3 linked regions of the Pelodiscus sinensis genome follow. The protein of the gene in region 2 binds, or shares a complex with, the protein of the main gene of each other region. Links are inferred from orthologs where the notes say so. Each region holds a gene or a part of one and is shown on either strand. Other genes may lie near its edges. The genes, in order: DENND1B, RAB35 and ACAP2.

What was found.
Region 1: the proteins of RAB35 (region 2) and DENND1B are in contact, whole or in part, in a crystal structure (PDB 3TW8), measured with the Homo sapiens proteins. The link is inferred for Pelodiscus sinensis from reciprocal best matches to the Homo sapiens genes RAB35 and DENND1B. Residues at the interface, in NP_006852.1 of Homo sapiens: Lys10, Leu12, Ser17, Ser36, Tyr37, Ile38, Thr39, Thr40, Ile41, Gly42, Val43, Asp44, Phe45, Gln60, Trp62, Thr64, Ala65, Gly66, Arg69, Phe70, Arg71, Thr72, Ile73, Thr74, Ser75, Thr76, Tyr77, Arg79, Gly80, Thr81; in NP_001182144.1 of Homo sapiens: Met1, Arg4, Glu43, Ser47, Phe51, Val72, Leu73, Thr74, Asp75, Ile76, Glu77, Ser78, His211, Glu212, Arg213, Arg214, Gln242, His243, Ile244, Ile246, Leu249, His252, Leu253, Asp255, Tyr256, Cys258, Ala259, Pro260, Met261, Pro262.
Region 3: the proteins of RAB35 (region 2) and ACAP2 are in contact, whole or in part, in a crystal structure (PDB 6IF3), measured with the Homo sapiens proteins. The link is inferred for Pelodiscus sinensis from reciprocal best matches to the Homo sapiens genes RAB35 and ACAP2. Residues at the interface, in NP_006852.1 of Homo sapiens: Arg3, Asp4, Tyr5, Leu8, Ile41, Gly42, Val43, Asp44, Phe45, Ile47, Lys58, Gln60, Trp62, Phe70, Arg71, Thr72, Ile73, Thr76, Arg79; in NP_036419.3 of Homo sapiens: Val715, Ala718, Asn719, Ala720, Asp721, Val723, Thr724, Arg727, Leu728, Arg730, Met731, Glu734, Met735, Ser738, Glu748, Thr749, Gln751, Arg755, Asp756, Gln759, Met760.

Annotation. Positions count from the first base shown.
Region 1 is NC_134719.1:46,151,541-46,159,456, reverse strand, and holds the start of DENND1B (DENN domain-containing protein 1B), read right to left. Parts: upstream 3,208-7,916; 5' UTR 2,894-3,207; coding exon 2,877-2,893; intron 1-2,876. UniProt on the Homo sapiens protein: Guanine nucleotide exchange factor (GEF) for RAB35 that acts as a regulator of T-cell receptor (TCR) internalization in TH2 cells. Acts by promoting the exchange of GDP to GTP, converting inactive GDP-bound RAB35 into its active GTP-bound form.
Region 2 is NC_134725.1:9,362,201-9,369,620, reverse strand, and holds the start of RAB35 (ras-related protein Rab-35), read right to left. Parts: upstream 3,258-7,420; 5' UTR 2,968-3,257; coding exon 2,916-2,967; intron 1-2,915. UniProt on the Homo sapiens protein: The small GTPases Rab are key regulators of intracellular membrane trafficking, from the formation of transport vesicles to their fusion with membranes.
Region 3 is NC_134720.1:55,155,317-55,162,856, forward strand, and holds the start of ACAP2 (arf-GAP with coiled-coil, ANK repeat and PH domain-containing protein 2), read right to left. Parts: upstream 3,245-7,540; 5' UTR 3,133-3,244; coding exon 2,966-3,132; intron 1-2,965. UniProt on the Homo sapiens protein: GTPase-activating protein (GAP) for ADP ribosylation factor 6 (ARF6). Doesn't show GAP activity for RAB35.

The sequences.
Region 1 (7,916 bases), on a different chromosome or scaffold from region 2:
GGGATATTTAAATCCCCCGCGGATTTCCCTACGACGACTGGTGAAATTTACATGCCCCTTCCGGAAAAGGGGCCAGTGTAGACGTAGCCTATTTGACTGAAGCTTGACAGTCACCATACCAATCATTTAAAAAAGTCACTGCCAATGGCATTTTAAAGGACTAACTCTTGTAAACAACAATTCAACCAGTGAGAAAAATTACTCTAATAATTATAATTACATTTGCTGGTTGATAGCTCTTTGCCCAGCCCTAGCCTCAGTTTAAATAATTATTTGAACAGAACAGTCACAAATGAGTGCCATTATTAGCATTCTCTGTCCGTGAATAAACTTATACATTTCAGTAATTTCTTGATTATGTTAACAGTTGCATCTGAACCTAATTTATTTTCATTCTTCTGAATTATTTATATCATTATTTTAATGAGCAATCTACTACAGGTTGAACTTCTCTAGTCCAGCACCCTCAGGACCTGACCAGTGCTGAACCAGAGAATTTGCCAAACCATGGGAGGTCAATATTGTCTAGTAGCATTACCAACACTTCTGCTGCTTACTGGGCTCTTAGAAGACATTTGGAGGTAAATTAGCACTAAATAACAGCACAGAACAAGAGCCAAGACTGAGAGCCAAGCCTGTTGGGACCACCAAAAACATGATCCCAGCCATGAAAAGTGGACATTCCGCTAACTAAAATCATGCCAGACCATGTTGCCAGACCAGAGTGCCAGACTAGAGAGTTTCAACTTGTACTTATATTAAATGCAAGAATTATAACCTCAACCATATCAATTAGTTATCTAAGAAACCACATGAGGGGCCCAGGTTTGAACTCTTTTCTTGAGTAACTTTCCTACTGAAGTCAGCAATTCTCCACAAATAAGGAATTCAAGACTGGGCTCCAGGTTTCTAAAATGATGCATATAAAGCATATCACAGATTGATAGTACAATACATGTTTTTAAAAAAGTTTTAGGGGGATTTTGGACTGGAGGGAAACTTTCTAACTCATCGGTTACTTAATATATTTTCTATCATTTATTTTTTCATCAACCATTTATGATATACATTTTTATTAAAACTGAAATACTAAATTTCTGAGCATCAATCATATATCTTACCACATCATGTTACTTCCGCACCTCACTTTTTAAATTATTCAGTTGGAAAAGAGGATCTTAAATGAGCTGGTTCTGCAGATATGGGGCTAAGCTTTGCTCTCAGTAATACCAATGTAAAGTCATATTACTGGAGACTTACAAGAGTGTAACAGAAAATATGATTGTTTCTCCTCTCAACTAGCAAAATCAAAATTAGTCTAATTAGAGTTGCACTCATTTAAATGAGAACGAAACTGGTAAGAAAGTGAAAACAGTGGAATTCCTGTACCATGAAAGGGTTCGATTAAATTTAATCCAAGGTGTGTGTTTACTCTTGTCTCTCATTTTTTGTCCCTTCCTTAAAGGAGTGGAAAGTAAGAATGCTGGATTTAATTCATCCATTTCTATCAAAACTGTGTCTCAAATACAGGATTAGGACTTCAGAGTTCAAGTTAATTGAATTTACAGTCAATGACACAGCATGTGAAAATGTGTTTGCTCCCTTCAGTACACAATCACAAAGTCTGTTTCCTCAGAAAAGTTCTAGGTTTATTCTTCACCTCCCACATACAAGGTGTTGCTTAGACTTAGACGTGTGAAGAAATATGTCAAACTAGTCTGATGTATGTCAGACTGATTCTCATTTCTATAAAGCTACTCAACAGCAGCACACTTACTCATCATAGATCACTATACATTTACAAAATACAGATTTAATGTCTCATCAGTTACCAAATTAAGGAAGTCAATGGGACTACTCACAATAGGCAAAAAAAATTAACTTCACCAAAGTTACTATCAACCCAGCTAGGTTACATTAACATTCTCCCAAGACAGAATTATTCTGTTAATGTTTTGAAAAATATAGTCATTTTCTTAAATAATTAAAGAGAAAGATGTTAGATTCCATAGAAGAATATTTATCAACATCCACTGTTTTAATGTTATTAGTTTTAAGCACTATTTTTGTGGCTGTTACTCAAAAACAGGACTCATTCACCTGTAATTTTCACACATATGGCAGGCATATTTTTAAATCCCTATTTATTGTCAATAGATACAAAGAGACAATCAACACAGAAGCATAAATATAAAAGTTTGTTGGGTATTGGTTTTTTGCAATCCACCTGATAACAAATCACCATGGACAGTTTTCTGAGAAGTCTAGTAGATACCAAGCACTGGGCTGATACTGACTTCCCTGAAGTTTAAAGCCATAGGCTCCCAGAGGCAGAAACAATGGTCCATTCAGTCCTCCCACTTTTAGGGCAGACTCCCTCAGTGGGATGGAGATTATTATAAGGCTCCATCTATCTTTATCTTCTCCTCTGGGGGATAAAGGGTTTCCCAAGCGGGGCTCACTGGAAGGTGCATGTCTCCGAGACTGAAGTTGGGGGGGGGGGGTCATTTTGACAGTGAGTGTTTTACAGCCTCTCCCCGGGGGTGACAAGGCCGGGAGAGATTTCTTCGGGGCAGGGAGTTGACAAGCTCTCCTGGTGGGGAGGGCTGCGGCATTCATGGCCTCTCCAGTGAGGGCCGGTGACTGGGATGGGGGGCCGGAGGGAGGAGCCCACCAGCTGCCCACGGGGAGGCAGCCAGGGTGCCACCTGCGGGGGAAGCGGGCTTGCGGTGCGGACTCCCGTGACAGCCCCGCTCCTGGCCGTCATGCCCCGGGGGTCTGGCCGCCGGCGAGCCAGGCTGGGGGAGGCTCTGCGGCCTAGTCCCTCCTGCCCTCTCCCTCCCGCGCAGCCCCGGAGCCGCCCCGCCCGCACTCACTTGATCCTGCTGTCCATGGTCACATCTCGGGCCGCGGCGGCCGGTGCGCGCCCCCCGGGAAACGCCTCGCCCGGCGGGGCAGGGAGGGGGCGCCGGCCCCGGCGGGGGGGTGCGGAGGCTACAGCGGCTGCTGGCGACGAACCATGGTGGCTCCGCTCCCCCGGCTCGGGCCGTGAGCGCGGCGGGGAGCGGCGGCACCGCCTCCTCCCGGCCTCAGTTCCTGTTGCCGCCGCGCCGGCACCTTCTGGGAAGCAGGAAGCTCGGCGGGGGCCGGAGCAGCCGCCAGTGGCGGTGTCACCTGCGCCGGCCGCTCCCGGGGTGGCCCTGCCTAGCGCCCCCGGGTGGGTGTGGCGCGGGGGCTGAACTGCTGCGGGGTAAGGGCTGCCCGGCCCCAGGGCCTGCTCCGTCCCTGTCCTAGGGCCCGGCCCCGGCTCCACTGCCGGACCCCTGCCTAGTGGCGTCCCCCCATTGGGGCCGTGCGCTTCCAAACACAAGCGCCCTGCCCGGCCCTCCGCCTCTCTTCCAAGGGGCTGCCTGAACTTCTCCTTTCGTTAGTAGGAACGCTTCCTTCTCCTGGGGCGAAGAACGAGGAAACAAAACCCCACCACTGGGTCCGGTTCCTCCCTCCGGTTTTTAGAAAGAGACAGCTACGCTTCTGCTCGTGGCACATCACCTCCCAGCACCTTCTGCCCTGGGTTCTCTCAGGTTGTTCATAGTCTTACATAGCATTTATGCTCACACATCAACAAAACGGGGAAAGGGAAATAAAATGGTGAGTCAGATATTTAAAATCTCCCCTCACTAAAGCACATTGCAAAACCCTCCATCCCCACAGAAAGGACTTCAGAAGTGCTTCATTAATCAGTGACTGCTCTGCTCTCTCCCCTCCAGAAAGCTGGCTCTCTAAGCCAAGGCCTCATCCTGCGGACTCCAGTCATGCAAAGAGATAAATATATGCTGACCTTTATTCACTATAAATATAGTCCCATATTGGCTTTGATAAGAGTCAGATGTCAATGCAACTTTTACAGTGCACAATGTTAAACATGACTTGCACTATTTGGTCTTTATAGTGTAGAAAGGCCGTTATCCTGACCCATGAGTCCATTCATATGGGCCAGCTTGCAGCATACAGGAAAAGGGCAATAGAAGAGACATACTCTACAACCTAATAGTGTAAACAATTATATATGCCAGTAGTCCCACTGAACTCAATGCAGCTCTTCACAAACAAAGTTACTCTGTGTATTTTCAAAATTAGGGCCTATTTCTTTCTAAGGGACAATTCCTTTAACTTCAGATGGAGTAGCAAGCATGTAGTTGAAAGAAAAATTTGAAAAATACTCCTGAGAGTATTTTTGTTGGTCAATATAATATATAGCCCTTCCATAAACCAGTGTGACTTGTACTTGCTTCTAGGGGAGATCTTATGCCAGAGATTAATTTGGTCCATTCAGTTTGCAAATAGTGCAGTTATTCTGGCAATCACATTATCTCTTCTAGAACATATTGCATAGCTCTGTTGAGTATATTTAGACTCCTTAAGCTGAACTATATGAATGGACTCATGGATCAGGATCAAGGCCATTCTATGCTATAAACTAATAATTTTATTACCATGGTGTGTCTGGTACTTCTACAGGAGGGAGGGGACTATAATGGTTTTAAGATAATTTTAAAATTAATTATTTGATTTTAGCCCATAATGCTGTTAGTTCAGCTTTGTATTACATTTTAAACAAACTGTACCCCCAAATTCTTAACCAGTAATCCCAGAGAAGAAATTATAAGAGTAAATTGCCAATCCTGCAAACCCTTATACACAAATATCTTTATGGATGGTAGCAATCCCATGGAGTTTGGAATGTGATAAAAACAAAGCTGGCCCTATGAAGGCCCCAAGTCCCATTCATCTTACGTGGTCTGTGTAGCCAAATTCCCAACTACAGGCAGTCCCCGGGTTACGTACAAGATAGGGACTGTAGGTTTGTTCTTAAGTTGAATCTGTATGTAAGTCGGAACTGGCGTCCAGATTCAGCCGCTGCTGAAACTGACCGCCAGTTCTGACTTACATACAGAATCAACTTAAGAACCCCAAGCGTCCCCAAGTCAGCTGCTGCTGAAACTGATCAGCAGCTGATTCCAGGAAGCCTGGGGCAGAGCAACTCTGCCTCAGGCTTCCTGTAGTCAGCGCTGGTCAGTTTCAGCAGAAGCTGACTTGGGGACGCCTGGGGCAGAGCAGCTGGGGTGCTGCTGGGTTGCTCCAGTAGCGCCGCAACCCAGCAGCACCCCATCTGCTCTGCCCCAGGTGTCCTGATTCAGCCGCTGCTGAAACTGACCAGCAGTGGCTGAATCAGGACCAGAGCAGCTGGGGTGCTGCTGGGTTGCACCAGTAGCGCCCAGAGCGGCGCTGCGGGACCAACTGGCAGCACCCCAGCTGCTCTGCCACAGGCGTCCGGAGAAAAGCCTAGTCTGCTGGGGGAGGGGGGCGTACTAGCTGCGCCCCCCCCCCCCCCACCCCAGCAGACCAGGAAGACTCAGGCGGCGGACCGAGATGCTGCGCGGTCCCGCCGCCTGGGTCCTCCGGCTTTGCTCCCCGTCTCCCTGGTCTGCTGGAGACCAGCAGACCAGGGAGACGGGGAGCGCCTCTGAGGACGCCGGCAGCGGAGCAGCCCAGGTGCGCCTGGGGTGCCCCGCTGCCCGAGCCCCCCCGCGGCTTTGCAAAGCGCGGGGAAGCCGGCGGTGGGGCAGTCCAGGCGCGCCTGGGGTGCCTCGCTGCCCGAGCCCCCCCCCCCCCCCGCGGCTTTGCAAAGCGCGGGGAAGCCAGCAGTGGGGCAGTCCAGGCGCGCCTGGGGTGCCTCGCTGCCCGAGTCCCCCCCCCCCCCGCGGCTTTGCAAAGCACGGGGAAGCCGGCGGCGGGGCAGTCCAGGCGCGCCTGGGGTGCCTCGCTGCCCAAGCCCCTCCGCGGCTTTGCTCTGCGTCTTCCTGGTCTGCGAGGTCCCGCAGTCCGTGTACTCTGGGGCAGCCCCGTTCGTAACTGCGGATCCGACATAAGTCGGATCCGCGTAAGTCGGGGACTGCCTGTATACTAAATATATAAAACAGCATTACAGGCAGTCCCCAGGTTACGTACAAGATAGGGACTGTAGGTTTGTTCTTAAGTTGAATCTGTATGTAAGTCGGAACTGGCGTCAGCCGCTGCTGAAACATCAGTTTCAACTGCGGCTGAATCTGGATGCCAGTTCTGACTTACATACAGATTCGACTTAAGAAACGCAGGCGTCCCCAAGTCAGCTGCTGCTGAAACTGATCAGCGGCTGATTCCAGGAAGCCTGGGGCAGAGCAACTCTGCCTCGGGCTTCCTGTAGTCAGCCGCTGACTGAACCTGAGAAATGGCTGTCCAGGGGGGTCCCTTTAAGCTCACATCTCAGATAGCTTCAGGCAGCAGCTCCAGGAAATAACTGCTGACCTGGTGCCCTGCCTTAAGTGGTTCCGGGTGGCCTTAAATGTCAGTCAGTGTCCAATCAGTGTGGATGCTCTATTTTGAAATAGCTAAGTGCTATTTTAATGCGTCTTTTGTGTATAGACGTGCTTTTTCAAAATAAGCTATTTCGGAAAGTCAATTCCAAAATAGCTTATTTCAAAATAAGTGTGCAGTGTAGATATACCCTAAGGTGTCACAAGACTTATCTTTGTTTTTAAAGTTACAGACTAGCAGGGCTGCCCCTTCTAGATTCATCTGGAAGATGTGCACAGCATTAGTCGCTTAATCTAAAACAATATGAGACTGTGAGGGTTTCGGGGTGCGATCACCCCCTCCCGGTCCGAGGGGGGGGTCTGCGGACCCCTTTTGGTCCTCCTTTTGTCCTGTGTTGTCCCTGGGCCGCCAATGTGGAGTCCAGGCCCCTGGGGGTGCGATCACCCCCTCCCAGCCAGAAGGGGGGGTCAGCAAACCCCGGGCCGTGAGTACCCGCCGAGCGGGATGGGGCCGGAGCCCCTAGCCTTAGGTCCTCCTCCCCCAGTCCGGGGTTCTAGTTTGGTCCCTGTCGGTTAGTGTGGCTGTCGGGTGCTGGACGCTCCCCGTGTGGAGGGAGGGGGACCCGGTCCCGCCCTCTCTCCGGGTCCCAGCCCGGGGCCCTGAGCGCCGGGGCCGCTAGCGCCCCGGCACGGTGGACGAGGGGGGTGAGGATTCTCCCCCCTGTGGCCCGTCCACCCACGGCCGCCAGAAGCGCCCTGCCCCGGGCTCCTTCCTCCCTCCCGTTGGGTCCGCCTGCCGATCCCCGTCGCCCTGGCGCCTACCTCGACTCCGCGGTCTGTGGCGTCTCACGTTCCGGTGGAGTCTCGGGGGTGAGCTCTCCGGCCCTGGCGCGCTCCTGGCCGTCCCGGTCCCTCCTGACTCGGCGTGGTGGGGTCCTCCTGCCGTCTGGCGAGGGGCTGAGTGCTCGCCAGGGGCAGTGGCTGTCCCGGAGGCCCCGGGACCAGCGCCGGGCCGGTAGCCGGGCTGTGTGGCGCTCACGCTCCGTCCTGTGGTGGGGGCTGCTCCTCCGCCGCCGCGAGGAGCCTGTGCCCCGCTTCTCCGGCGGCAGGCACTTTTAAACTGGCCCGCCGCGCCGGCCGCCGCCCGGGGCCCCGCCCCTTCCGGGCACGTCCCCGCTGGCAGCCCTCGCCAGTGGCCGTGAGCCCCGGCCCCGCCTTCCCTGCGTGGCCCGGTGGGGGGGGAGCCGCCCGTCAGCTGCCGGCGCAAGCGCGGGGGAAGCGCCCCCGCCTGCCACCCCCGGCGGCTGGAGTTGCGGGGTTGCTGGGGGGTCTGGGGCCGGCCGGCAGAACCCCGCCGGTGGGGACTCCGCTCGCCCCGCCCCCGGGAGAGTGACGGCCGGCGGGGGCTCCGCTCCCCTCGCCCCTGGTCAGGGGCCGGCCCGTCACAGAGACATTACAGACTTTGAGTCATCTCTTAGGGCTAAATACTTGTTTTATTGGCAGTTTTGCTCTTGATTTCAGTGAGATAGAGAAATTGAAACACAGGCTAGTCTGTCACTATTC
Region 2 (7,420 bases):
AGTTGTGGCCCTCTGCATGTGCTATGAGTATCATTGTGGTCCCCGGGGCCAAAGTTGAGTAGCCCTGCATAAGAGACTATATGTATATTTCTTTTTTTTTTTTTTTTTTTAATTTTGGCACAACTTAGACAGTGGAGGCCAATCACATTTTCAAAATCACTTAAATACAGAAACCTACTGTCCTCTAAACTGTCATAATTCCATATGAGGAAAAGCAGAAAATGTAACGATCCATCCAACGTTTCCTAATATGAGGCTTTTCTATGAGGATCAATGAACGATGCAAGTGAAATGTTTCTGGAAACTGGGGCAAAGCCTTCTTCTTGGGTTTAAAGAGAAACCACTAACAATCTATATTTGTAGCTCTACAATCGATTTAACTGTTAGAACCCAGAAATGCAGGCATTTGGTCTTCTCACAATCAGGTCACGCACAGTTTCTGACACTGTACATGCTCCGGTTTTTAGGGGCTTTGTCCAAATTAAGCAATCCCATCAACAGGAATTAACTAACCAAAAGAAAAAAAAAATCTTCCTCTTATAGGTCTCTAAATTAGAAATCTGCCTAAATGGTTTAGAAAACAACTGGCAGTCAAGACAGAAATTATTTAAACTAGATCTCTCTCCTCTAGTAAAGCAGTCAGTATGCCAGGACATACTGGGGCTTAGAATAAATTCCCCTTTTAAAAAAAAGTTACCTTTAAAACAGGGTCTATGTAAACTCGAGCCCTACCCTTCTTGTGGCCATAGGGCCAACAATGAGGTAGCCACAGTGCGCTATATACAGTAATTCCTCATTTAACACTATAGATATGTTTCAGAAAATGATCGTGTTAAGTGAAAACGTGTTATGCGGGGTCAATTTTCCCATTGAAAATAATGGAAAAGGTGGGGGTTGTGTTTCAAGTGGTTGTGTCTGTTGGGACTGGGACATAAGGTTGGGAGAGAAAGGGGACTGGGTTACAGCAGGGAGGGGAGGTGTTTGGCTCTGGGGAAGAGGAGGGTAGGAGAGAGGAGGGAGACTGGGTTGTGAGTATGCCCCTGTAACGAGTCTGCCAGGACCTGAACTGCATCTGGCGAGGGAGGGAGGGAGCGCTGGGGAACAGCGCAGCGAACCCTCTGCCGCTTTGCAGGGAGGTGGGGGAAGCCCCGCGCAGCCACCGGTGACAGGCTGGCTGGGGAAACCCTGCCGCTGGCCTGCAAGAGAGGGCGGAGGAGAGGGGGTAAGGCGTCCGGCGAGGTGGAGTCAGCGGGGAATGGCGTGGCAAACCGTGAACCCTCCACCGCTTTGCAGGGAAGCAAGGGAAGCCCTGCACAGCCACCAGCAACGGGCTGGCTGGGGAAATCATGTTATTCCGGGGATGGTAGTGTAATTCAAAAAATGTTCTCTTAAAAAAAATCGTGCTATCATGAAAACGTGTTAAGTGGGCACGTGGTAAATGAAGAATTACTGTATTCACCACATTTGATAGAAATCTGCAAGCTTGTGGAGGTAACAATTCCTAGGATCATGTAGAGCTCCATTTTTATCCAAATCCATTTTATCCATGCCACACTAGGGATGTGAGTAGTCAAGTTGTCAACTACTTGCTACCTCCCCACCTGCACCTGGCTCTTACTACATTTAAACTGCAGAGGTGCAGCAGGAGGAGCTCATGGACCAGCACAAGCCAGGAAAGATCACCGTCCCTTATAAATTAATCATGTAGCCAATACAAATTGTAACTATACAATTAGTCAGTTACCCACCTCTTGACATCCCTATGCCACACTACACATTGGGACCTGCTATCTTTACAGGTCACACCTTTATTAAAAGATGAGAGTGATGCCATTTATTCAATTTTATTTAAATTAAGTTTCAGGATCTTGAAGGGCTGCAATTATGGAATTCGACTGGGTGAAGTTTGGAAACCCTCTATAGAGAAACAGAAATCCACCACTTCTGGCAGCTGCAAAATAGATCAACTAACAAGACAGGTAGTAAATTCAATTTTTTACCCTTCAAAAGTGTTTCAAACTCTGCAAAGCCTTTTAAATCCAAGGATCAGATGTTTCCCCTATCTTTAATTAACAGATTAAGTGTTTGGATATCCATGATTATAAATGAAACATATACATCCAGAACATACGCCTCCATTTTAAAGATCACATTGACACACACACACACACACACACAGCTTCAATAAGGCATATCTAAAGAAAACCTTTTTTAAATGTTAGAAAATTAAAAATTGACGCACTGGAAACAACACTCCTTAGGGCTTTCTGAGCAAATGCCGAACCCTGACGGTACTTAATTGTATGTTATATTATGAGGGAATTCCTTCCTGATCCCAGCTAGGGAATAGCCTATGCCCTGAAAACATGAGGTTTGATTGCCCTTGTAAAGTCTACCCTCGCTACTGTAAATGCGGACATTATCCTTACTTATTATATGCCCGTCTGACACGGTTTTGAATCTTGTTAAACTTTTTGCCTCAACATCCTGTGGCAGCAAGTTCCACAGGTTACACCACTCTGTGAAAACAAAGGCCTCCATTGCGTTGGAGCGGCTGTTGGCCTCAACAGGGGCCAGCGGTGAGAAGCGATGAGCCCCAGGCCCAGCGTGCAGAAGAAGCCCCCCCAGGAGCGCTGGCGGGGGGAGGATGCGTTGTAACTCACCGGCGGCTAGGACGCTGGCAGAGGCGCTGCGAGTCTTTTCCTGCCTGAGCAGGCACCACCTGACCCCACAGGCAGCCAGGCCAGCCCACCGCAGGCCGGGGCTGCCTTGGCCCCTCAGCCTCCCGGCCCCTCAGCCAAGGCACCGGCCCCCTCCCCAGCCCGGCGGCACCGCCCCGCACACACCAGCCCCTCCCGGCCCGGCCCCGCCGAGCGCCCCCCGGAGAGGCCCGGCCCCGCCCCCCCGCCCCTCACCGCTGTCGCCGATGATGAGCAGCTTGAAGAGGTGATCGTAGTCCCTGGCCATGGCCGGTGGGGAGCGGAGGCTCCGGGCGGCGGGGTCTCCTCAGACGGCGGCGGCTCCGGGCCGGATCCACTTCCCGAACAAACAGCCGGAACTGACAGCGGCAGCAACACCACCCCCCCCCACACACACACACTCTCTCTCTCACTCAGTCACAAATGCCCACACTGCGCATGCGCACCACCTCAGCCGCGCTCTGCAGCTGGGGAGCGGAGACCGCCAGCAGATCGGCCGCTCAAGTACGCATGCGCATCGCCTGTCTCGGTTTCTTTCCCCCGCCCCTTCGCCCGCACTCTGAACCAACCCTCGCTTCCTCCAGCGACCCGACCTTTAATGTGCGCGCTTGCGCCCTGTCACTCGAGGGCGCATGCGTTGTCGTGACGCGAGGGCGCATGCGCTCTCACGAGCGCCGGTGGGGGGGAAAAAAATTGCTTCTTCAGTAGGGTTGCCGCCCGTTTCAGTCGGGCGCTTGTGCCCCTCCCCCCACTGTCTTCCTCAGGCAGGTCCCCTGCCCGGCCCGTCTCACCTGCCAGCGCCCCACAGAGGGCGCCACAGCAAAGGCCTTCCGCTCTGGCGCGCGGCCTCCCCCCTCCCCACCTGGCCTCGAGACCAGCCACGACCGTTAGCGATGCCCCTGACGGTTGGGCTCCCGCCTCCCAGGGGCATGTGGGGGCTCTGGCATGCGCCTCCCTCCCAGCCTGCCCCCCCCATTTTATCATAAACAAATCTACCACCCCTGAAACCCACTGAGCATTGGGACAAGCCCCCCCCCCCCCCTGCAAGGCTGTGTCCACACTGGCGCCAAAGCGCCGCTCTTGTGCAAAAACTTGCTGCCTGTCTACACTGGCTTCTTGCACCACAACTCTGACGCTCCCGCTCAGGGGTAAGCCCTTTTGTGCAACTGCTCTTGCGCAAGAGGCCAGTGTAGACAGGCAACATGAATTTCTTGTGCAAGAAAGCCCGATGGTTAAAATGGCCATCAGAGCTTTCTTGCACAAGAGAGTGTCTACACTGGCACGCATGCTCTTGTGCAAAAGCACATGCCAGTGTAGACGCTCTCTTCTGGAAGAGTTTTTGCAGAACTCTTCCGCAAAAGAGTTTTTGCGTGAGAACACACCAGTGTAGACATAGCCCCAGAGTCCAGTATATGAGAGAGAGTGCATTGCTGCTTTGTTTGCTAAACAGGTGTGGCCTGCATGGTAAAAGGAGGAGGCTATGCCTACTCTTATATGGCGATTTGGTCCAGTGAGGCAGACAGCAGAGCTGTTTTCTTTTGTATGCAGCTACACCCAATTAAACCTTTATCCATTCACCTAGAGGTATACAACACCAAGTTCCATCCATTTGCCCTGCTGTGACCTTCCCCCCCCTCCCCCAGAGATGAAGATCACAGTGGTATTTTATCTTTTCTGCTAGTGTAGCTCACCCTGAGGTTTCAGTCTGAGCACGCTTTTAGTGCCTTTTGCAATTGCAAAATAAGTTTCACTGACTAAAACTTTCATAGAACTGGGAGAGAGGACTGACAAGATAACCAAAATTTCATAGAAGCCTTTGCTTTAACAATATTTTCCCATGTTACTTTTCTATAGAAGTTTTCTTGTACAGTAACGGGAGTTCTTCACGGCCCAGAGATCTTTAGTAGCAGTCCCTGGCTGCCGGCGCATGCTGTGCTATTGTGCAATCACTCTGATTGACGGTTAAACACATACCAGCAGCCGTTCCCTCCGTTCCTTCTCCACACCAGATCGTGTTAGTCCGGAGCAGAGGAGAGGAAGATAGGTGTGGAGCACCCATAGGGACACGTCTCAAAGAACTCCAGTTACTGCATAAGGTGACAAGTATCAGAGGGGTAGCCATGTTTGAGGGTCCCCGGGGGTGCGCTACTTAGGTGACTACACAGCAGTATTCCTGCTTGGCAGTGGGCACTCCGTATTGCAGGGTTGGATGTTGGAAAGTATGGTATGTCCAAATCTAGTATCTGAGTCCTGAAAGGACTGACTAGCATAATGTTGTGCAAAGGTATTGTCCAAAGCCCATGTTGCAGCTCTGCAGATGATGTCTATGGGAAGACCCTTGAGGAAAGCAGTTGTGTTAGCTACTGCTTTCGTGGAATGCACCCATATAACTGTTGTTGGCTGTCTGTGTTTCTGGGTGTAAGCCAGTTGTATGCCTGTAGAAATCCATTTGGATATTCATTGGTTTGGAAACCAATTGACCTCTGGACCTGTCCATCCATGATACGAAGAGTCTGGGAGTGCGTCTGAAGTCTCTTGTGCATTCGAGGTAAAAGGCTAGTGCCCTACATACATCCAGCATGTGCAGCACTGTCTGCTTGCTGTCCTTGTGTGATTTTGGGAAGAACACAGGTAAGTACGTTGCTTCCTTACAATGGAACCAGGTAGGTACTTTGGGCAGGAATTTCGGAATGGTTCTAAGGATGACCTTGTCCTTGTGGAACACCGTGTGCGATGGGTCCACCATGAGTGCCACTATCTCTCCCACTCTCCTAGCTGATGTTATCGCTACGAGAAAAGCTACTTTTATTGAGAAGTGGAGCAGCAAGCAAGCTGTGAGCAGCTCAAAAGACCATCTCATGAGCGAGTCCAGCATGAAATTCAAGTCCCATGATGGTACTGGGTCTTCCTGTGGTGAATAAAAGTTCCGTATCCCTTTCCAAAATCTCTTCACACACGGGTGGGAAAAAATGGAATAGCCCTGTATAGGTGGGTGTATCACAGATATGGCTGCCAAGTGGACAGTGAGAAAATTAATTGATAGTCCTGTGTCCTGCAGATGGAGAATATACTCTAGTATGTCCGCTATCCCCATCCTATTTAGATTATACTCTAGTATGTTGCCTTATTCAGTGCTTGAGCCCAATTCCAGGCTTCAAATCAGGCCCACTTCTGCAGGTAAGTCCATTTCATAGTGGGTCTTCTAGTATTGACCAGGATATCTCTGACCCTATGAGACATCATTAATTCATATTTGAGAGCCAACAAGCATCCATGCTCGCAGATCTAGGGTGTGGAGTCCAGGATGTGGTATGTGCCCTTTGTCCTGGGTCAGCAGCACTCAAACCAGTGGGAACTTGTACAGGGGACGAGTACTGAGTTGTAGTGTGATAGGGTACCAGATCTGTCTCGGCCAACTGGGGGCTACCAGTCTGACCCTTGCTGCATCCTGTTTGATTTTCAATACTGTCTGTTGTATATGAGGTATAGGTGGAAATGCTTATGCCATGGGAAGTCCCAGCAGTCTGCAAATGCATCCCTGAGAGATCATGGTCCAATGCCTGCCCTGGAACAGTATAGGGGACACTTGGAGTTGGCATGAGTCACAAACAAGTCCACTACTGGATAACCCCATTTCTTGAAAAGGTTGTTTATGATGGGTTTGTTGATTTCCCATTCATGATTCTGGGAATTGTCTGCTGAGGTCATCCGCTAATACATTGTCCTTGCCTGGTAAATGCATTGCAGTTGGTGTATTGTATTTTACACCTACTGTTGTGTATAATACATCATTGCCACAGTTTCATAGCTTCCGCACATAGGCTGCTCGATCTCACGCGCCCAATTTATGTAATATTCGTTGCGGTATTGTCTGACATTATTCTCACTGTTTTGTTCTGTATGTGCTAAAATAGTTGGGAGCACTCTTGTCTGACTGCCCTGAGCTCCAACACATTGATATGGAGCCGGGACTCCTGTTGTGTCCATTGTCCCTGTATCATGCTCCTGCTGTGGGCTCCCCATCCCAGCAGGGACAAGTCCGTTGTGATAGTGATGGATGGCATTGTTGCCTGAAACAGAAGCCCCAGGCATGCATTGCGTATGTCTCTCCACCAATCCAGGGTGGCTTTGACCCAAATGGGTACATAGAATGCCTTGTGGATCACGTGGTGTCTGGGCTGATATGCAGAGCTTAGCCATACTGGGAATGGTCTCATATGTAGTCGAGCGTGTAAGACTACAAACATGGACATGTCCATGTGTCTGAGTATTTGCAAGCATGTACGCACCAAGGTGCATGGGCAACTCTGTATCGACGCGATCAAGGCACATAATCTTTCCCATCTGTGGATTGGCAATGATGCTATGCTCTTGGTGCAATCCAGCTGTGCTCCTATAAACTCCAGTGTTTGTGTAGGAGTGAGGGAACATTTGTCCAAGTTCAATAGGAGCCTGAGCATCTTGAATAACTGTCTTGCTGAGTGTAACACCCACTCCATGTCCCCATAAGTGTGTGCCATGATCAAACAGTGCCGCAGATGAGTGGGATGCAGCAGCGGCACTGGTGCCCCGCTCCACTTTTTCCTGGTGTTCTGTGGCTTATCCTCGGTTAATTTGTCCTGCTATACTCTTCTTTTCTTTCTAGTCTTTCTAGGAAGACTGTTGCTACTGGGACTGCTGCCAGTGGCGGTTGAGAAGGAACTGAGGGAACGATCTCCAGC
Region 3 (7,540 bases), on a different chromosome or scaffold from region 2:
TTGCCCGATACTGACGTTAGACTTACTGGTCTGTAATTACCAGGATCGCGTCTGGAGACCTTTTTAAATATTGGCATCACATTAGCTATCTTCCAGTCATTAGGTACAGGAGCAGATTTAAAGGATAGGTTACAAACCACCATTTGAGTTCTTTCAGAACTCTTGGGTGAATGGTCCCCATGATATCACACACAGAGACAGATGGCAATAGGATATTCTTAGACACAATCTATTTCTTGCATAATGATTCCCAAGCTTTTTTTACTGCCATTACCCAGTGACTGGATGTTTTCAGAGAACCATCCACAATGATTTCAAGAGGAATTATTTCAAGTGATAACAGCCAATTTGGTTCCCATTATTTTATACATATAGGTGGGATGTTTTCCAATATGCATTTATCAATAATGAATTTCATCTGCCATTTTGTTGCCCAGTCTGAACTACTATACAGTAGTTCAGAAACGGCAGAGTCCCCATGCTATTCTATTCAATAGAGCTGGAAAATAAATTCACAACAGCAGTGATCGACTTGAACACTTTTGCCACCGCGTTTGAACTCTTGCAACAAGTTCATTTTATTCAGGTTTCCTGGAAGAGATCTACAGTTACATCAGACCCCATGGGCAGACGTTTTTTATTTGACTATTCGCTAATAACTACTGCTCAGGGCGGATACACGTCCAGCTGTTTTAAACATGCTGCTACTTTTTAAACCCAGCAGTGGTCTGTGGTCGGGCTGCAAGGGACGAGCCAAACCGGTCCCACCGCCGGCTCAGTTCAGCCAGCCCCTGACACCGCAGCAGCTGCCCCCGCGACGCGCCTTGTCCCGGCCCCTCCCCAGCGCCGCTTCCCCCTTCGGGCTCACCAGGCAGAGCGGGGCAAGACAGGGACTCGGGCCGCGGGGGAAAGGGGGTCGCAGGGATCCAGGCCGGGAGCGGCGGGGGGGCCGCGGGGGGGTCGCAGGGACCCGGGCCGGGAGCGGCGGGGGGGGGGGGGGGGCCGCGGGGGAAAGGGGGTCACAGGGATCCAGGCCGGGAGCGGCGGGGGGGCCGCGGGGGGGTCGCAGGGACCCGGGCAGGGAGCGGGGAGGGTCGCAGGGACCCGGGCCGGGAGCGGGGGGGGTGCGGGGGGGGTCGCAGGGACCCGGGCCGGGAGCGGGGGGGGTGCGGGGGGGTCGCAGGGACCCGGGCCGGGAGCGGGGGGAGGACGCAGGGACCCGGGCCGGGAGCGGGGGGGGGGGGCGCGGGGGGGGGCCGCAGGGACCCGGGCCGGGAGCGGGGGGGGGGGGCGCGGGGGGGGCCGCAGGGACCCGGGCCGGGAGCGGGGGGGGCCGCAGGGACCCGGGCCGGGAGCGGGGGGGGCCGCAGGGACCCGGGCCGGGAGCGGGGGGGGGTCGCAGGGACCCGGGCCGGGAGCGGGGGGGGGGGGGTCGCAGGGACCCGGGCCGGGAGCGGGGGGGGGGGGTCGCAGGGACCCGGGCCGGGAGCGGGGGGGGGGGGGTCGCAGGGACCCGGGCCGGGAGCGGGGGGGGGGGGGGTCGCAGGGACCCGGGCCGGGAGCGGGGGGGGTGCGGGGGGGTCGCAGGGACCCGGGCCGGGAGCGGGGGGGGTGCGGGGGGTCGCAGGGACCCGGGCCGGGAGCGGGGGGGGTGCGGGGGGGTCGCAGGGACCCGGGCCGGGAGCGGGGGGGGGACGCAGGGACTCGGGCCGGGAGCGAGGGGGGGTGCGGGGGGGGTCGCAGGGACCCGGGCCGGGAGCGAGGGGGGGCGCGGGGGGGGTCGCAGGGACCCGGGCCGGGAGCGAGGGGGGGCGCGGGGGGGGTCGCAGGGACCCGGGCCGGGAGCGAGGGGGGGCGCGGGGGGGGTCGCAGGGACCCGGGCCGGGAGCGAGGGGGGGCGCGGGGGGGGTCGCAGGGACCCGGGCCGGGAGCGAGGGGGGGCGCGGGGGGGGTCGCAGGGACCCGGGCCGGGAGCGAGGAGGGGCGCGGGGGGGGTCGCAGGGACCCGGGCCGGGAGCGGGGGGGGGCGCGGGGGGGTCGCAGGGACCCGGGCCGGGAGCGGGGGGGGCGCGGGGGGGGCCGCAGGGACCCGGGCCGGGAGCGGGGGGGGGCGCGGGGGGGCCGCAGGGACCCGGGCCGGGAGCGGGGGGGGGCGCGGGGGGGCCGCAGGGACCCGGGCCGGGAGCGGGGGGGGGCGCGGGGGGGCCGCAGGGACCCGGGCCGGGAGCGGGGGGGGGCGCGGGGGGGCCGCAGGGACCCGGGCCGGGAGCGGGGGGGGGTCGCAGGGACCCGGGCCGGGAGCGGGGGGGGGGCGCGGGGGGGGCCGCAGGGACCCGGGCCGGGAGCGGGGGGGGGGCGCGGGGGGGGCCGCAGGGACCCGGGCCGGGAGCGGGGGGGGGGTCGCAGGGACCCGGGCCGGGAGCGGGGGGGGGGGGTCGCAGGGAGCCGGGCCGGGAGCGGGGGGGGAGCGGGGGGGTCGCAGGGACCCGGGCCGGGAGCGAGGGGGGGCGCGGGGGGGGTCGCAGGGACCCGGGCCGGGAGCGAGGGGGGGTGCGGGGGGGGTCGCAGGGACTCGGGCCGGGAGCGAGGGGGGGCGCGGGGGGGGTCGCAGGGACCCGGGCCGGGAGCGGGGGGGGGACGCAGGGACTCGGGCCGGGAGCGAGGGGGGGCGCGGGGGGGGTCGCAGGGACCCGGGCCGGGAGCGAGGGGGGGTGCGGGGGGGGTCGCAGGGACTCGGGCCGGGAGCGAGGGGGGGCGCGGGGGGGGTCGCAGGGACCCGGGCCGGGAGCGAGGGGGGGCGCGGGGGGGGTCGCAGGGACCCGGGCCGGGAGCGGGGGGGGCGCGGGGGGGTCGCAGGGACCCGGGCGGGGAGCGGGGGGGGAGCGGGGGGGGTCGCAGGGACCCGGGCCGGGAGCGGGGGGGCCCAGCCCCGCGGAATACGGGCCCGCAGGCGCCCCCCCCTCACCTGAAGCGGGGCGAGTCCTTCAGACACTCCTCGAAGTCCACGGCCACCTTCATGGTGGGGCGAGGGGCAGGGCGGGGCGGGGCGCCGGGGGCGGTGCCGATCGATCGCCGCCTGTCCCATTGCAGAGACTGACAAGCACAGGCAGCCAATCGGAAAGCAGAATGCATACGCTTGGCCAATTCTGGCTTCTGTAGGCGGGCTTTCCTGCGGCTCGCGTGCCGGGGTGACGGACAACGAAAGTATCCAATCAAGTCAGGAGACTGGAGGCGCCTGTGCAATCACCACTAGGAGAGCTAACCAATCGCAGAACGCGACAGGCCGCTACTTCCTTATGGCGCCTTTTCTCCATGATTGATATCCAAGCAAGCCAATGGTCATAGGGGAAAGCCGCAACGTCACAGCTTTTACCCCGCTTGCCGGCTTTCACTGCTGACTGGCAGTGAGTTCGACCAATCAGAGAGGGAAAAGCTGGGGGCGGGCTTTGCAGCCGCCGAGAAAGGTAGCGAGGGCGTTGCCGGGCTGCTAGGCATAGGGCGGGGCTGGCTCGGCCCCAGAGGCCCCACGCACGGCGGGCGGGACCGTTGAGGAAACAGGGGGATGAGGGGCCGCCCCGCTGCCACTTCCCGGGGCAGGGCGGGTCCCTCCAGCCCCACGTGCACGGGGCGGCCCCGCGGGCCACGAGAGGAGCGAGGCTCCCGGCCGCAGGGCACGTGTCCCCGGGCTCAGAAGCGCGCTGCCCCGGCCGGCTTGTGAAACGCCCCCCCGCTCGGTCTCGCAGCCCCGGCCCTGTAATCGAGCCTTCAGCTCAGCCACAACAGCCAGGTGCCCGCGCCCAGCGGAATGTCTCAGTGCCGTGGCTGCCCTCGCTCTTACACCCGGGGATGCCCAGCGGCTACCCTCTGCCCAGCAAAACTAGTGATCCTGGTTCATTAGTAAACACGCATGTTAACTGGCATTGCTCGTGTCATTAAGGAAGGGCTGCGGCACTGCAGGGGCTTAGGAATATGGGGGGCTGGGATGCGTAGAAATAAGGGGCGCAGAAGGCTGTCCAATCCACAGGGCTGCCTGGTGCAACAGGGTGGGTAGTGCCTAGCCAGCAGCTCGCCAGCATGGGAACCTTACCTACATATAGCAACATGCAAAGTCCCACTCCTAGACAGCCACTCTTACCAGTGCACCCGGTCCCCTGTGTTCTTTCTGCAGTATAACAGTCCTTGCAAGCGTTTTATGAGAAATAATCCTAAACCCTGTGACTTTCATGAAAAATAATCGGATTCCATGCAAATCTCATTGTCCTGGCACAAAACCCCTGAACTTGCTTTAAGTTACAATAAGAGGAAGGTGCATATCAAATGTAGCGATCCTTGCTCTTACCTTTTTTGAGTTGTTCTTGGACAGACTGACCAGACACACAAACTCTCTCATATATACAAAAGTACAAACCAGATGTAAGTGGTTGTAAGTAATAGCACTCAGAACAAAGTAAGTTTCTAAGCAAAATAAACATTCCAGCTAAGCTCAGTACACTAAGAAACTGTCTACAGGGAATCTCTCACCTTCATTCTGAAAAGCTTCTTTCATAAACTGGACAGCCTCCCAGTCTGGGCTTTATCCTTCCCCCGTTCAGTCTTAGAGGTTTCCAGCAGTCATCTTGGGGCACAAGCAGTGGTGTCCTGACAACTGGCCCCCATAACTTTAAGGGCTCCTCTCTGAAATGGGTTGTGCAGAAGGTGGGAAGGCTTTGTTTGCTGGCAAGCCTCCCTCCATGTGAAAAAATACTACATTGAAGATGGACACCCCTATCAAATGACATAATACACATGTTCCTGTGGGGACTTTCAGCTCCACCTATGGACAGGCCCACTTACAGATCAATGACCTTATTAGCCATCACATTTCTGAATACCCTTAATGGCCCTCACTCATCATTCATACCTATATTAGTAATACAGGTTTATACGTCATATTTCTAACTTCCAACACAGGAATGATACATGCATACAAGCGGGAAAATCATATTCAGTAAATTACCATTATTCAAATGACACCTTACACAAAGTATTTTGTATGAAACAGTTTCCAGTTGTGCATACTGATAAGCATGCACATGGATAGAGCAAACCAGTCAGATGAAAAGCTCATACTGTTAAACAGAGGCAGGCGTGTAAGTGAATGAGAGAGAGACAGAGATTGCCCTGCAAAGAGGGGCTGAGATGTCAAGGTTCCCCCTCCCACTGCCTCAGAAGGGGTTGTTTCCTTCCCCTGTCCAAACTTACAAGATAGCACGCTGACATCCCCAAAACTGTCTCCCCCCACCACACACACACACACACTCTCTCTCTCTCTCTCTCTCTCACTTCTGCTGTAAAAGCGCTCTCTCTCTCTCACTTCTGTGGTAAAAGCAGCCATCACAAGAAGCACAGTGTGGGGACACAACAGCAAATTTCCCTGCGTCACTCTGGGAGCAGCACTGCAACTGCAAGCACTTTACACCTGCCAGTGTAGACATGGCCAACGAATGGCAGAGTGGCCAATACTGCCTGGTAAAATGGGCCCATTCAAACAAAATGAGTTTTAGTATAGCAAAAAGTGAAAGGTTATACATCTAGGACCAAGAAATGCAGGTAATCACTGCAGAACACAGGTCTGGAACACAATGATTCTGGAAAGGATTCAGGGGTCACAGCAGACAAGCAATTGAATATCAACTGCCAGCGTCATGCTATGGCAAAAAGGATTCATGCAATTCTTGGATGCACACAAACATGGGGGTGGTATTTGCTTGGAAGAAGGCATTGCGGACACACTGGAATGCTGCATGCAGTTCCGGTGTCTGTGTTTTAGAAAAGACATTGAAAAACCGGAGAAGGTACAGAAGAGAGCCACTAAAATGATTCCAGAATGAAGAAAATGCCTTCCAGGGAAAGATTTGAAACAGAACTCCATCTGGTCAGTTCATCAGCGATCGAGAGGTGACAACTTTTACAGGGAAAAGTCTGAGTATTGAGAGTTCTTTAATCTAGCATAGTAAGTCATAACAAGAACCAAGGGCTGGAAACTGGAGCCAAATTGCAATGAGAAATACAACAGAGTGACAGTGACTAACCATTGGAACAAAACAAGCATGGAAAAGGTTGGATTCTTCATCTCTAGCTGTCTTCAAATCAGGACCAGATGCCTTTCTGAAACAGGCTTTAGCTAAACAAGTTATGGGCTCAACACGGCAATGTGTGGGTGAAATGGAATGACCTGGGCTGTATGCAGGTCAGATGAGATTTCCTAAAGCAGCCCTCAGGCAGGCCAGGAGCTGGTTTCAGGGGGTTCCTGAGCCCCAGTGCCCCCACCTGAGGAGCCCAGGGGCAGAGTTAGGAGGGCATGAGCGGACACTGCCTCCCCAAACTGCAGTGCCATAATGAGAGTGGGGCAGTCCCACAGGAGGCTACCACCTCAGGTCCTGCTCCCGGGCCAGGTTAAAGGACAGGAAGTGCGGGGCAGCTACTGCTCTGGCTGGTGTCCAGGAGCAGAAAGTCATAGCATTCCCCCATCTCCTCCTTCAGCTGCTGGTGCCCAAGCATCACTTCTTCTCAGAATCACTTCCTCCCCATGGCGCACGTGTATGCTGGGTGTATGCGCATGTATCAGACCCTCCAGAAGCTTCTGCGGCCATGCCGTGTGACAAGGGGGACTGACCCACATGGGACAAACTATTCTGCCACATGCTTTACCCCACAAGTACCAAGGATGAGGGATTAGCCTAAGGCAGCGGCTCCAGGCCACGGCAGTTCTGGGGGCTGCAACTGGGGTACACCGCTCTCACCATGGCTGTTGGGAGAGGCGTGTCCTGCCTCGCTTCTCAGCCAAACAGCACTGGTCAGGGGCTGGGTCTTCCCCCAGGCACAGAAGAGCGCTTCTCTGCACTCTGGAGGATGAGCTAGCAGTGGGGCAGGGGGCGCTATGGATGCCAAGAGAGTGCTGGGTACAGGGTTAATACAGGGGGCTGGCACTGGGGGAGGTTCTGGGGGGAGGTTGGGTGCAGTCGGGCTCTGGAAACAGGAGGCTCGTGGTAGTGGGAGGTGATGGAGAACTCGAAGGGGTGGAGGGCTGGCACTGAAGGGGTTGGATGCAGTGGGGCACTGGAAACAAGGGGCTCATACGGGGGTCTGGTGGTGAAGGACGTCAGGCATTTGGGATGGGCGGCTGGCACTGGGTAGCTCAGAGTGGGAGGCTGGCACTAGGGGGCTTGGGTGCAGGGGACTCTGCAGTCAGGGCTGGCGCTGGGGAGCAGTGGAAGGGTGGGGGGCTCTGGAGTTAGGACTGGCACTGGGGGTTGAGCTTTTGGTGGACCAGTAATATTTTATTTGCATATGCATCATTTATATAATGAATATGCAAATACAATTATACCAGCCCACTGAAAGTTTGTGACTGGATTTGCTGGTCCCCAGTATCAAAAAGGTTGAGAACCACTGGCCTAAGGACAGAATCCAATATGGCAGTAGAAGGGCACAATCCGTCACGCTGGCAGCAGCAGTTACAGGATAACCAAGCAGATCCCACACCTGCTCCTAGATGGCT